Linked DNA regions of Callithrix jacchus. The protein of the gene in region 1 purifies or fractionates together with the protein of each later gene. This does not show direct contact. Links are inferred from orthologs where the notes say so. Each region holds a gene or a part of one and is shown on either strand. Other genes may lie near its edges. The genes, in order: HEATR3 and TMEM186.

Region 1 (4,575 bases):
TACCTCTTTTAGCAGCGCGACCAGAGGGGTCATGATATCCTTAGTCACCATGTCATCACAAACTTCAAAACCTCCACAAGCACTGAGATTTCTACACAAGAAGTTTAAAACATGTTTTACTTTCACATCACATGTCACAAAACACTTCTACACTCTCAAATTATATCTATTTTTAGCCATATTTAAGTTTTCCCAGAGGAAAGAGCTTACTGTTTCTGTCATATGCTGCTGAACCAATCCAGAGATTTCCACCTGTTCTGATCCTTGTTCTACAAGATGTAAACAGATGACTCTGTCATATAACAACTTAGTTCTGAGGTCTGAGACAGTATACAGGTACATAGCTACAAGAAGGGGAGAAGGGAGACTTTTCCCACATGAATAAATCATGTACGAAGGGATCTGTTCTTGAAATTAAGACTACAAGGGCAGGGATAGGTGCTGTGGCTCACACCTGTAATCCCAGCACTTTGGGAGGCTGAGGTGGAGGATCACTCAAGCTCTGGAGTTCAAGACCCGCCTGGGCAACATAGAAAGACCCCATTTCTACAAAAAAAAAAAAAAAAAAGAAAGCAAACTGCAAGGGCAGCAAGGTGGGGCTCAGGTGAATGACACCTCCTAAAGTAGCCCTGGCTAAATTCTAATTGGAAAGATATGAGCCTTCCCAGTGCACAGCACTGTATTAGGCCCTAAGGATATGGATAGTCACAATCCTCCAGGATCCCCTAGCCTGTGTATGCTGTGGGAGGAAGGGAAGGGCTTTCCACATGCTGTTTCCTTCCTAGGGGAAGTAGGGCATCTATTTCCCCCATTCATCCTTCAGAGCTGACCTCAAGCATCACTCACTCAAGAGTCTTCTTCCCTGAACCGGTTTGTACCCTCTTGCAGCACCCTTTGTCATTGCCATTCGTTGCAATTATACAGTTATCTAATTGTTTGGTTAATGCCGGTCTCCCTCAATAGACTTTAAGATTTCTTAAAGAGAGACACTACCTTGCCCATTACCCCATGACCACAGCCTAGCTCACTGGCACACAGTAGGCACTTGACACATATTGGCTAAATCAGTGAATGAAACATAAATCACAAGTAGAGACAGAGCTGTAAGAACTGCCAAGTATTAACTTCTGCTCTTGCCCCCTCTGCAGTCCATTCTCTGCACAGCCACCACAGTGGCCTTCTGAAAAGGTGAGTTATATATAATATGCCACTTTCCGGCTTAGAGTAAGTAAGTCCTCAGCCCTACACCATCCTACAGATCATCCCTCTCTCAGGCCTCACCTTTTTAATTACTCACCCCTGCTCTTCTCAGGCACCTACCCTCTCTGCTCTTCAATCATGCCAAACCACCTGCTGCTTCGCTTCTTTGCTGCTGCTGTTCCCTTTTTGGGTAATGCTCTTCCCCCTATTTTTCCACGTCTCCTAGCTCTCTCACCCTGCAGATCTCAGTTCACAAGTCATCTAAAAAGCACCTTTTTTTTTCTTTCTTTTTTTTTTTTTAAAGAGACAGGGTCTTGCTCTGTCACCCAGGCTGGAGAGCAGTGGTGTGATTACGGCTTACTGCAGCCTCAAACTCCTGGGCTCAAGCAATTCTCCCACCTTAGCCTCCTGAGTAGCTGGGGTTACAGACACCCACCACCATGCCTAATTGTTTAAAAATTTTTCTACAGACGGGGTCTTGCTATGTTGCCCAAGCTGGCCTTGGACTCCTGGCCTCCAGTGATCCTCCTTCCATGGCCTCCCAAAGCAATGGGATTACAGGTGTGAGCTACCACGCCAGGCTCAAGAGCACCCAATTCAAACTTCCACCCCCAACTCATCATCTCGTTTTCCCACAGCAATTCTCACTATTTAACATCATGTGTTACCTTTTTACTAGCTTCCTGTCTGCCCCCCATCAACACGACTTGTGCCAAGACAGGGATCTTGGCTGTCTCGCTCAACAGTCTTGGCTGCATAAAATCCCCTGCATCTAGAACAATTTCTGACACATGAACTGAAAATTTCATCCAAGCAAGGGACCCTATGGAGGGCTTTTGGAACCAGTAAAACGTGCACCAGGCGTGAAGGCAGAACGCCTGAGCAGGTGGACGCTGCAGATGAAGCAGCCAGGTAGACAGACAGATGAGATGCCTGTGGTCCGGGGATACTGGCGTTCTCCGGAGCCTGGAGAGTGGGTTCAATCTCTGCAAACAGATCGCACCAGTGCCTCTCACACAGAAAGCGCTGGCTGACCGCTGCGACTGCCTGGAGCCCAGGCGCGTGGGAGACTAGCGGTGGCACCGCCCCAGACCCTTTCCCGGCTCACCTCAGCGCGCCGGCTGCAGTCTCTCTGACCGCCAGGCTGGGGTCCAGCAGCAGCGGCCCGAGGCGGCGCACCGCGTCTCGACGCGCCAGGCCAGGGAGCGCGGGCCGCTGCTGCACCAGCCGGGCCAGTCCCGCGCAGGCGCACTCGCGGACCTCGGCGCTCGGGTGTTGGAGCTGTGGACAGCAAGAACCATCAGAAGGCACGCAGAGCGCAGTGCGCACGCGCGCGGGACAGCCTCACCTCGACACCCGGCTCTGCGAAGCCCCCGCCTCACTTTTTCCAGCAGTTCCACCGCCGGCCCGTCGTCATCCTCGCCTCCGGTCCCATTCACCGCCGCAGCAGCATCGGCCTGACAGTCGCCCGTAGGGGAGAACTGAGGTCGCTTGAAGCGCTTCGTCCGGCTCTTGCCCATGGCGACGTGCACTGTGCGGACCACCGAGAGAGGAGGGCAGCAGCAGGTGATGGAGGCTACCGCGCTGGTGACAAGGTCCGTTGCCAAAGGACTTTCCCACTGCTGCTCAGCTGGGCCGGCTGACGGCTGGAGAACACATGGGGAACCAGTGCGCAGGCGCGCGGCGCGTCGACAGCGGGGCGAAGGCAGGCGCGCGGAGCGCGCAAGCGTGGAAGAGGATGTGGGCGGGGCCAGCTTCGGCAAAGGGGCGGAGTCTTGTGGGTAATATCAGGAAGTAGGAGGCTGGACTAGAATAGTAACGCTGACTCAGGCGAGAGTATCACCTGAGGCCAGAAGTTCGAGACCATCCTCGGCAACATAGGAAAACACTCCAGCCCTCCGGCCCCGCTCCCCCCAAAATTAAAAATTAGCTGAGTATAGTGGCTTGTGTGTGTAGTCCCAACTACTTGGGAGGTTGAAATAGGGGGATCACTTGGGCCCAGGAGTTTGAGGCTGCAGTGAGCCTTGATCCTGCCACTGCACTCCAGCCTGGGTGACAGAGTGAGACCCTGTCTCAATCAATCAATCAATCACACTATAAATAAATATAATTAAGGATACCATTCAGTGAGGATGTATGTTTGAAAAGTAAAATATTTTTTTTTTTATAAAAAGGATACCTGACTTGCAAGGTTATTGTAAGGTACACATAAAGTTCTATGAAGTGCCAGACACCAAGCCTGACATATAGTAGGTACACAAAAAAGTATTAACCGTGATTTTGTCTCCCCAGCACCTCCCATAGCTCCTGTCATAGATCGAGACCACTTAATGTTTTGGAACGAATGTATGTCTATATTTGATAAAGCAGAATCGCTTAAGAAGTTAATCTACCTGCCTTAGGTTCCTCATCGGTGAGGTAGGGACATCAATAGCATATACCTTATGGAGTTGTTATGAAGACCAAATGTGTTAATCTATTTAAGGTGCTAAGAACAAAGACCGGCAGATAATAAGCACTATGTAAATGTTTGGAAACTTTTGTTTAACAAAGAGATTCTTTTGCAAATATTTGTTGAGTACTAGGTACAGCGCTGGGCATTGGAATAAAACAATAATCAAGGCAGTTTGGTTTCTGTCCTGTCTTCCTGTCCTTATGGAGTTTACCGTCCAGGGAGAGATCTGTTGAATATATAATTATATTAATAACTTTGGTTATAATTGTGGTAAATACTAAGCAGAGGAAAAAGAACAGAAGAATCTCAGGTAGTCTTTATAATTACACATGTAATTAGTGAGTACTCAGTATACCCATAGCTTTGGGTCAACTTTCCGTTTTTCTTTTTTTTGAGATAGAGTCTTGCTCTGTTGTCCAGGCTGGAGTGCAATGGTGCAATCTTGGCTTACTGCAACTTCTGCCTTGGAGCCACTAAATATATGTTGGTGGGTTTTACTTACTGTATATCTTATCGGGCCATTGATTTGCCTGCCACCTACCTAGTCTAGGCCACCGATTTGTTTGTTTTGTCTTGTTTTTTGAGATGGAGTCTCTCTCTTATTGCCCAGGCTGGAGTGCAATGGCACCATCTCAGCTCACTGAAACCTCCGCCTCTCGGGTTCAAGCGATATTCTTGCCTCAGCCTCCTGAGTAGCTGGAATTACAGGTGCCTGCCACCATGCCCAGCTAAGTTTTGTATTTTTAGTAGAGACAGGGTTTCACCATGTTGCCCAGTTGGTCTTGAACTCCTGACCTCAGGTAATCCACCCGTCTTGGCCTCCCAAAGTGTTGGGATTACAGGTGTGATTTACCATACCCACCCCAGGCTACTGTCTTTTATCTTGAGCATGTGGCTTTCTGGTCTCTTCATTTCCACCT
Region 2 (4,564 bases), on another chromosome or scaffold:
ATAACGAAACTCCTTCTCAAAATAACAAAAAAGATATATTTGTTAGGTGTATCTTGCTATGGTTAAGAAAAATGAAAGGCTATACAATAAAATATTGTTACTGACTTTTGAGTGGCGAAATCATAAAGGTCGCGCCTTCCTTCCTCTTGACTGTGTTACGGATTGTATAATGAACATATTATTAATTATGCAGAGCAGTGTATATAACTGGCTTTAGTTTATAAAACAGTGTACCAGCATACGTCCATCTGGCTTTATTACACTGCAGGGCCATCCAAAGCAAGAGTCTCTAGACCTCTGGGTGGGGTTTTGTGCTCACCTGGATGACATCTCTGCTCATTGATGTGTAGTTAACAGTCCCTTCTGGTAGTCCCTTCTGCCGCTGGACATGTGAGGGGGCACAGCACAGAGTTCTGGATGTCGCTAGTGACTGCTCAAAGTCTTTCTCCATGCTGAAACCTCTATACAAATGCTTAATATCTGCTCTGGGCTGTTGAGTCCGCAAAAATTTTGACATTTATTGTTTATTCCCACACCCATCCCATGCAACAAGAAGACTTTCCATTTTATAGATGGAGGTTCAAAGAGGCTCAATAACCTCTTTGCCAGGACAAGTAACAGAACTGAGACTTCTGGCTCCAAATTCTACACTCCCCTGCCACACCTCTTTGCCTTCCCATTTCACAGCAATGGACTGTCTGGGTGACCTTGGCATAGGTTCCTTTAATAACTGGCTCCTAACAGAAACCTCCAGCCATTATCTGACTGAATGTCACACACAAGTGCTATCAGAACTTGCACTTAGCCGGGTGCGGTGGCTTACACCTGTAATCCCTGCACTTTGGGAGGCCGAGGCAGATGGATCAAGAGGTCAGGAATTTGAGACCAGCCTGGCCAACATAATGAAACCCCGTCTCTACTAAAAATACCAAAAAAGTTAGCCAGGTGTGGTGGCGAGCACCTGTAGTCCCAGCTACTCGGGAGGCTGAGGTGGGAGAAGCGCTTGAACCTGGAAGGCGGAGACTGAATAAGCTGAGTTCACACCACTCCAGCTTGGGGAAAAGAACGAACTCCATCTCAAAAAATGAAAAGAAAAAAAAAGAACTTGCATTTAGAGCCTTTTTCCTAAACCTGGACACCAAATCTCACCTTGTAAATTTCTACATCACAAAACACATGTTCCCAGGGGCCCAGGAAAGTCTCCAAGTACTCAATCCCCTTTCTTCAATCTTGCGCACACCCTCGGCCTTCCTGTCAATCCAGGCAACCCAGAATTACCCAGAGGTCCAGCTCCCAGTTGTTTACTTGAATATCTGCAGCGCCCCAAACACCTGTGTGAAACACTCTTTGTCCAGGATGCGTCCGTGGCGTAGGGTAAGGTAGAAGGTCTGTTTCCCACTGTACTGCTGGATACGCATGAACAGCTCCTCAGGGCAGTCCTTGGTTTCTGTCAGGGGTATCACATCTTCCACGGGACAGTATGTGTCCTGCCGCCAGCCCCAGAAGTTCAGGTGGGCCACCCGCAGTATGGTGCCAGACTCGTTCAGATACAGGATGCCAACCAGTCTCCGAAGGAAATAGCTCATCCAGCAGAGCATGGCCAGAGCAAAGCATGACACCCCATTCATGATGCAAAGGGACTTGAGAGTCAGGAGGCCCTGGGAGTACCAGTAATAGCCTGGTGGCAAAGCTATCACTGTCAGGGCAGTCTGTGCCAACTTCAGTCGAGACAGGTACCCGAAGGATCTGATGGCATCAAAACGGTAAAACATCCGGAATTTCTCAGTCTCTGTGTCTGGTGGTTTCTCCTTTGAGGTGGGTGACGTGCTCCCCAGCCACCTCTTAGGATCCTCCTGCCCACTGCAGCACCACCACAGCCCATGGAGAGGCCGTCCCCATGCAGTTTTTCCTGGAAACCTAGGCACAGCTCGGAGAAGGGCAGCCTGAAAGGGAGATAGTAGACCATTTCTCTTATGGAACTCAACCACATTAATCACACGGTAAACATCTGCAAAGCATCTCACTCCAAGGCTTTTGCCAATCCTGCAAGGTCACCATTATTGCCAGAGAAGGAAAGGGTAAAGCCAGATGCTACCTCATGTGAGCAACACAACAGCTACCTAAGATAGGTATCCCTATTTCCACTTTACCACTAGGGAAACTAAGCCCAGAGAGGGTAAGATGTTTACCCAAACATAGTCAGTGAGTGCAGCAGAGTCCGACTCTCAAACCGGGCCTCTTTTCACCAGGCAATTCCAAATAAATATAGGAAAAGAGGTACAGCCTTCATTAACTCACAACCTATCTAGGCAGGACCAACTCTGGGCTGGACAATGGATCCAAAAGGGGTTGTGAACATTTCCCCAAGCAGGATACTAAATAATCAGTGTCTTAGTGGGGAACTTGAGCAACAAATCTGTGAAATATTTATCCCAATAACTTTCCAATTCTGTTTGATTTATATGTCATCTTGGGTGCTAGAGGAAACTGCTGCTTTCTTAGCCTAGTCTGGGGAAGCAGAAATAGCAGAGGAGGAGGAGAGAAGCAGGAAGGCCCCAACACATAGCACAAGGATATTATTAGGTGAGTAACGAGGCAGTAAAAGTTCTGGTTCCGGTTCTGGCTCCAACAGTCACTGCCTGTGGATTCTTGAGCAAATTACTTCCTTCACACCCCTGAGCTTCCGTTTCTTCACCTTTCAAAATGGGGACTCAGAACACAGTGAACCAGAAGATGGTTTAGAGCCCTCAACTTAGTACCTGATGCACTGTGAGAGCCTGGCCAGTTTTAGCGAGTACTACTGCTGCGCACGTGACCCAAGGAGGTCAGAGAAAGCCGGGGGAATGGCGAACTGTAACCCACGCTGAAGCCTCCTACTAGGGATTCTCCGAGTCCGACAGTAGGGCGTCTTGTCTGCCTGCCCCAGCTCTGACCCCGATCCCCAAAACAAGGCTCGTCACCCGCCTCCTTACCATTGTCCCACCGCCTGCTGCCGGAAGTAAATGCCACCGGTCCCCGGAACCTCTAAGAGGGCATGCTCGAACGTACAAGGCGGGCGTGACCGCGTTGCACTCTGGGAGTTGCGGTCCAGGAATCGTGGCTGGCGCTAGTCCCAGGCATTGTGGGAACAGAGTCTCCTCTTCCCGACGTGCCCTGCAGCTCGGGGGCCGAACCCGGAAGTTCCGGGCTGAGCTCCTGGTGCCAACGAGTCTCGTCAGGAGCAGCTAGAAACTGGGGATATGGCAGGTCCCGGCCCAGCGCTCTGCCTCTTCGACGTGGATGGGACCCTCACCGCTCCGCGGCAGGTAAGTGGCGGTAGCAGCCGAGACGGAGCCCGTGCTGTTCCCAGTTGAAGTTATCGACCACCCAGGGTGGGCGCCAAGGGGTAGCTGAGGACCGCAGAAGTGTTCATGGGGGCTGAACCCTACTCGGGGTGTCCTGGAGGAATGAGAGTGAAGCTCTGACCAGCTCTTCAAGAGCTCTTGGTGCTTGGAGAGATGAGACGGGGCTGAAGAACTCCTAAGAGCAAGAAACTTGTGCTGGGTCGGAAAATGCAATCTGGATTCACGGCTGGTCCTCGGGACTGTTGGACCAGGATTTGTACCCGAGATCAAGCCCCCTTTTCAGCTATGTTACAGACATTCTCAGTCCTGTAACCAATGAGCTGTGCCGTGAATAATATTTTTAAAAGGTTTCCAGGTCAAACCGACCTAGTGGAGTCTCGTCTTCACCTCTTGACAGCTGTGTGACCTTGAGCAAGTCATTAATGTCTCTGAGCTTCAGCATCTACAGCTTTTTTTTTTTTTTTTATAGGAGTTTTCGCTTTTGTCTCCCAGGCTAGAGTGCAATGGGGCGACCTCGGCTCACTGCTGTAACCTCCGCCTCACAGGTTCAAGCAATTCTCCTGCCTCAGCCTCCGAAGTAGCTGGAATTACACGCACCTACCGCCACGCCCGGGTCCTACCTCAGCCTCCCAAGTAGCTGGGATTACAGGCACCTGCCGCCACGCCCGGGTCCTGCCTCAGCTTCCCAAGTAGCTGGGATTACAGGCACCTGCCACCACGCCATGCTAATTTTTATATTTTTAGTAGAGACAGGGTTTCACCATGTGGACCAGACTGGTCTCAAATTCCTGACCTCAGGTGATCACTCGCGTCAGCCTCCCAAAGTGCTGGGATTACAGGCATGAGCCACCACGCCTGACCTCATCTTCAGCTTTAAATGGGGATATTACCCCCTGTGCCATATGGTGTCTGTGAGGTTCAGATGAGATTACATAAATTCTTGAAATTATATTGCACATAACACACTAGGCTTCAATAAACAGCCACCTCCACCGCACCCATCTCCAGCCCCTGCAGTGGACTCGGGAAATGGAGGACCCCTAGGTTATTAAAGGCTGCCTGCTGAGACCCACTTTAGGGCCTTGGAAACGTGCTTTCCACTTCCAGATATTGCTGCTGCAGGCACAGATAAGTTTCAGTTACAATCACCCTTGAGATGAGGCTCTTCTGTCCCCTTTTCAGAAATTGGTCACTGCACACCGGCCATTTGAACTTGAGAC

Evidence for each region.
Region 2: the proteins of HEATR3 (region 1) and TMEM186 purify together in Homo sapiens (co-immunoprecipitation; 3 studies listed by BioGRID and IntAct, counting the BioPlex papers as one, with this or other methods). This does not show direct contact. The link is inferred for Callithrix jacchus from reciprocal best matches to the Homo sapiens genes HEATR3 and TMEM186.

The regions. Positions count from the first base shown.
Region 1 is NC_133521.1:7,861,710-7,866,284, reverse strand, and holds the start of HEATR3 (HEAT repeat-containing protein 3), read right to left. Parts: upstream 2,868-4,575; 5' UTR 2,721-2,867; coding exon 2,583-2,720; coding exon of another isoform or gene 2,549-2,582; intron 2,482-2,548; coding exon 2,309-2,481; intron 270-2,308; exon of another isoform or gene 211-269; intron 94-210; exon of another isoform or gene 92-93; coding exon 4-91; intron 1-3. UniProt on the Homo sapiens protein: Plays a role in ribosome biogenesis and in nuclear import of the 60S ribosomal protein L5/large ribosomal subunit protein uL18 (RPL5). Required for proper erythrocyte maturation.
Region 2 is NC_133513.1:11,045,361-11,049,924, forward strand, and holds the start of TMEM186 (transmembrane protein 186), read right to left. Parts: upstream 3,001-4,564; 5' UTR 2,976-3,000; coding exon 2,973-2,975; intron 1,944-2,972; coding exon 1,302-1,943; 3' UTR 1-1,301. Other genes in the region: PMM2 (phosphomannomutase 2), read left to right, coding at 3,240-3,305. UniProt on the Homo sapiens protein: As part of the MCIA complex, required for efficient assembly of the mitochondrial complex I.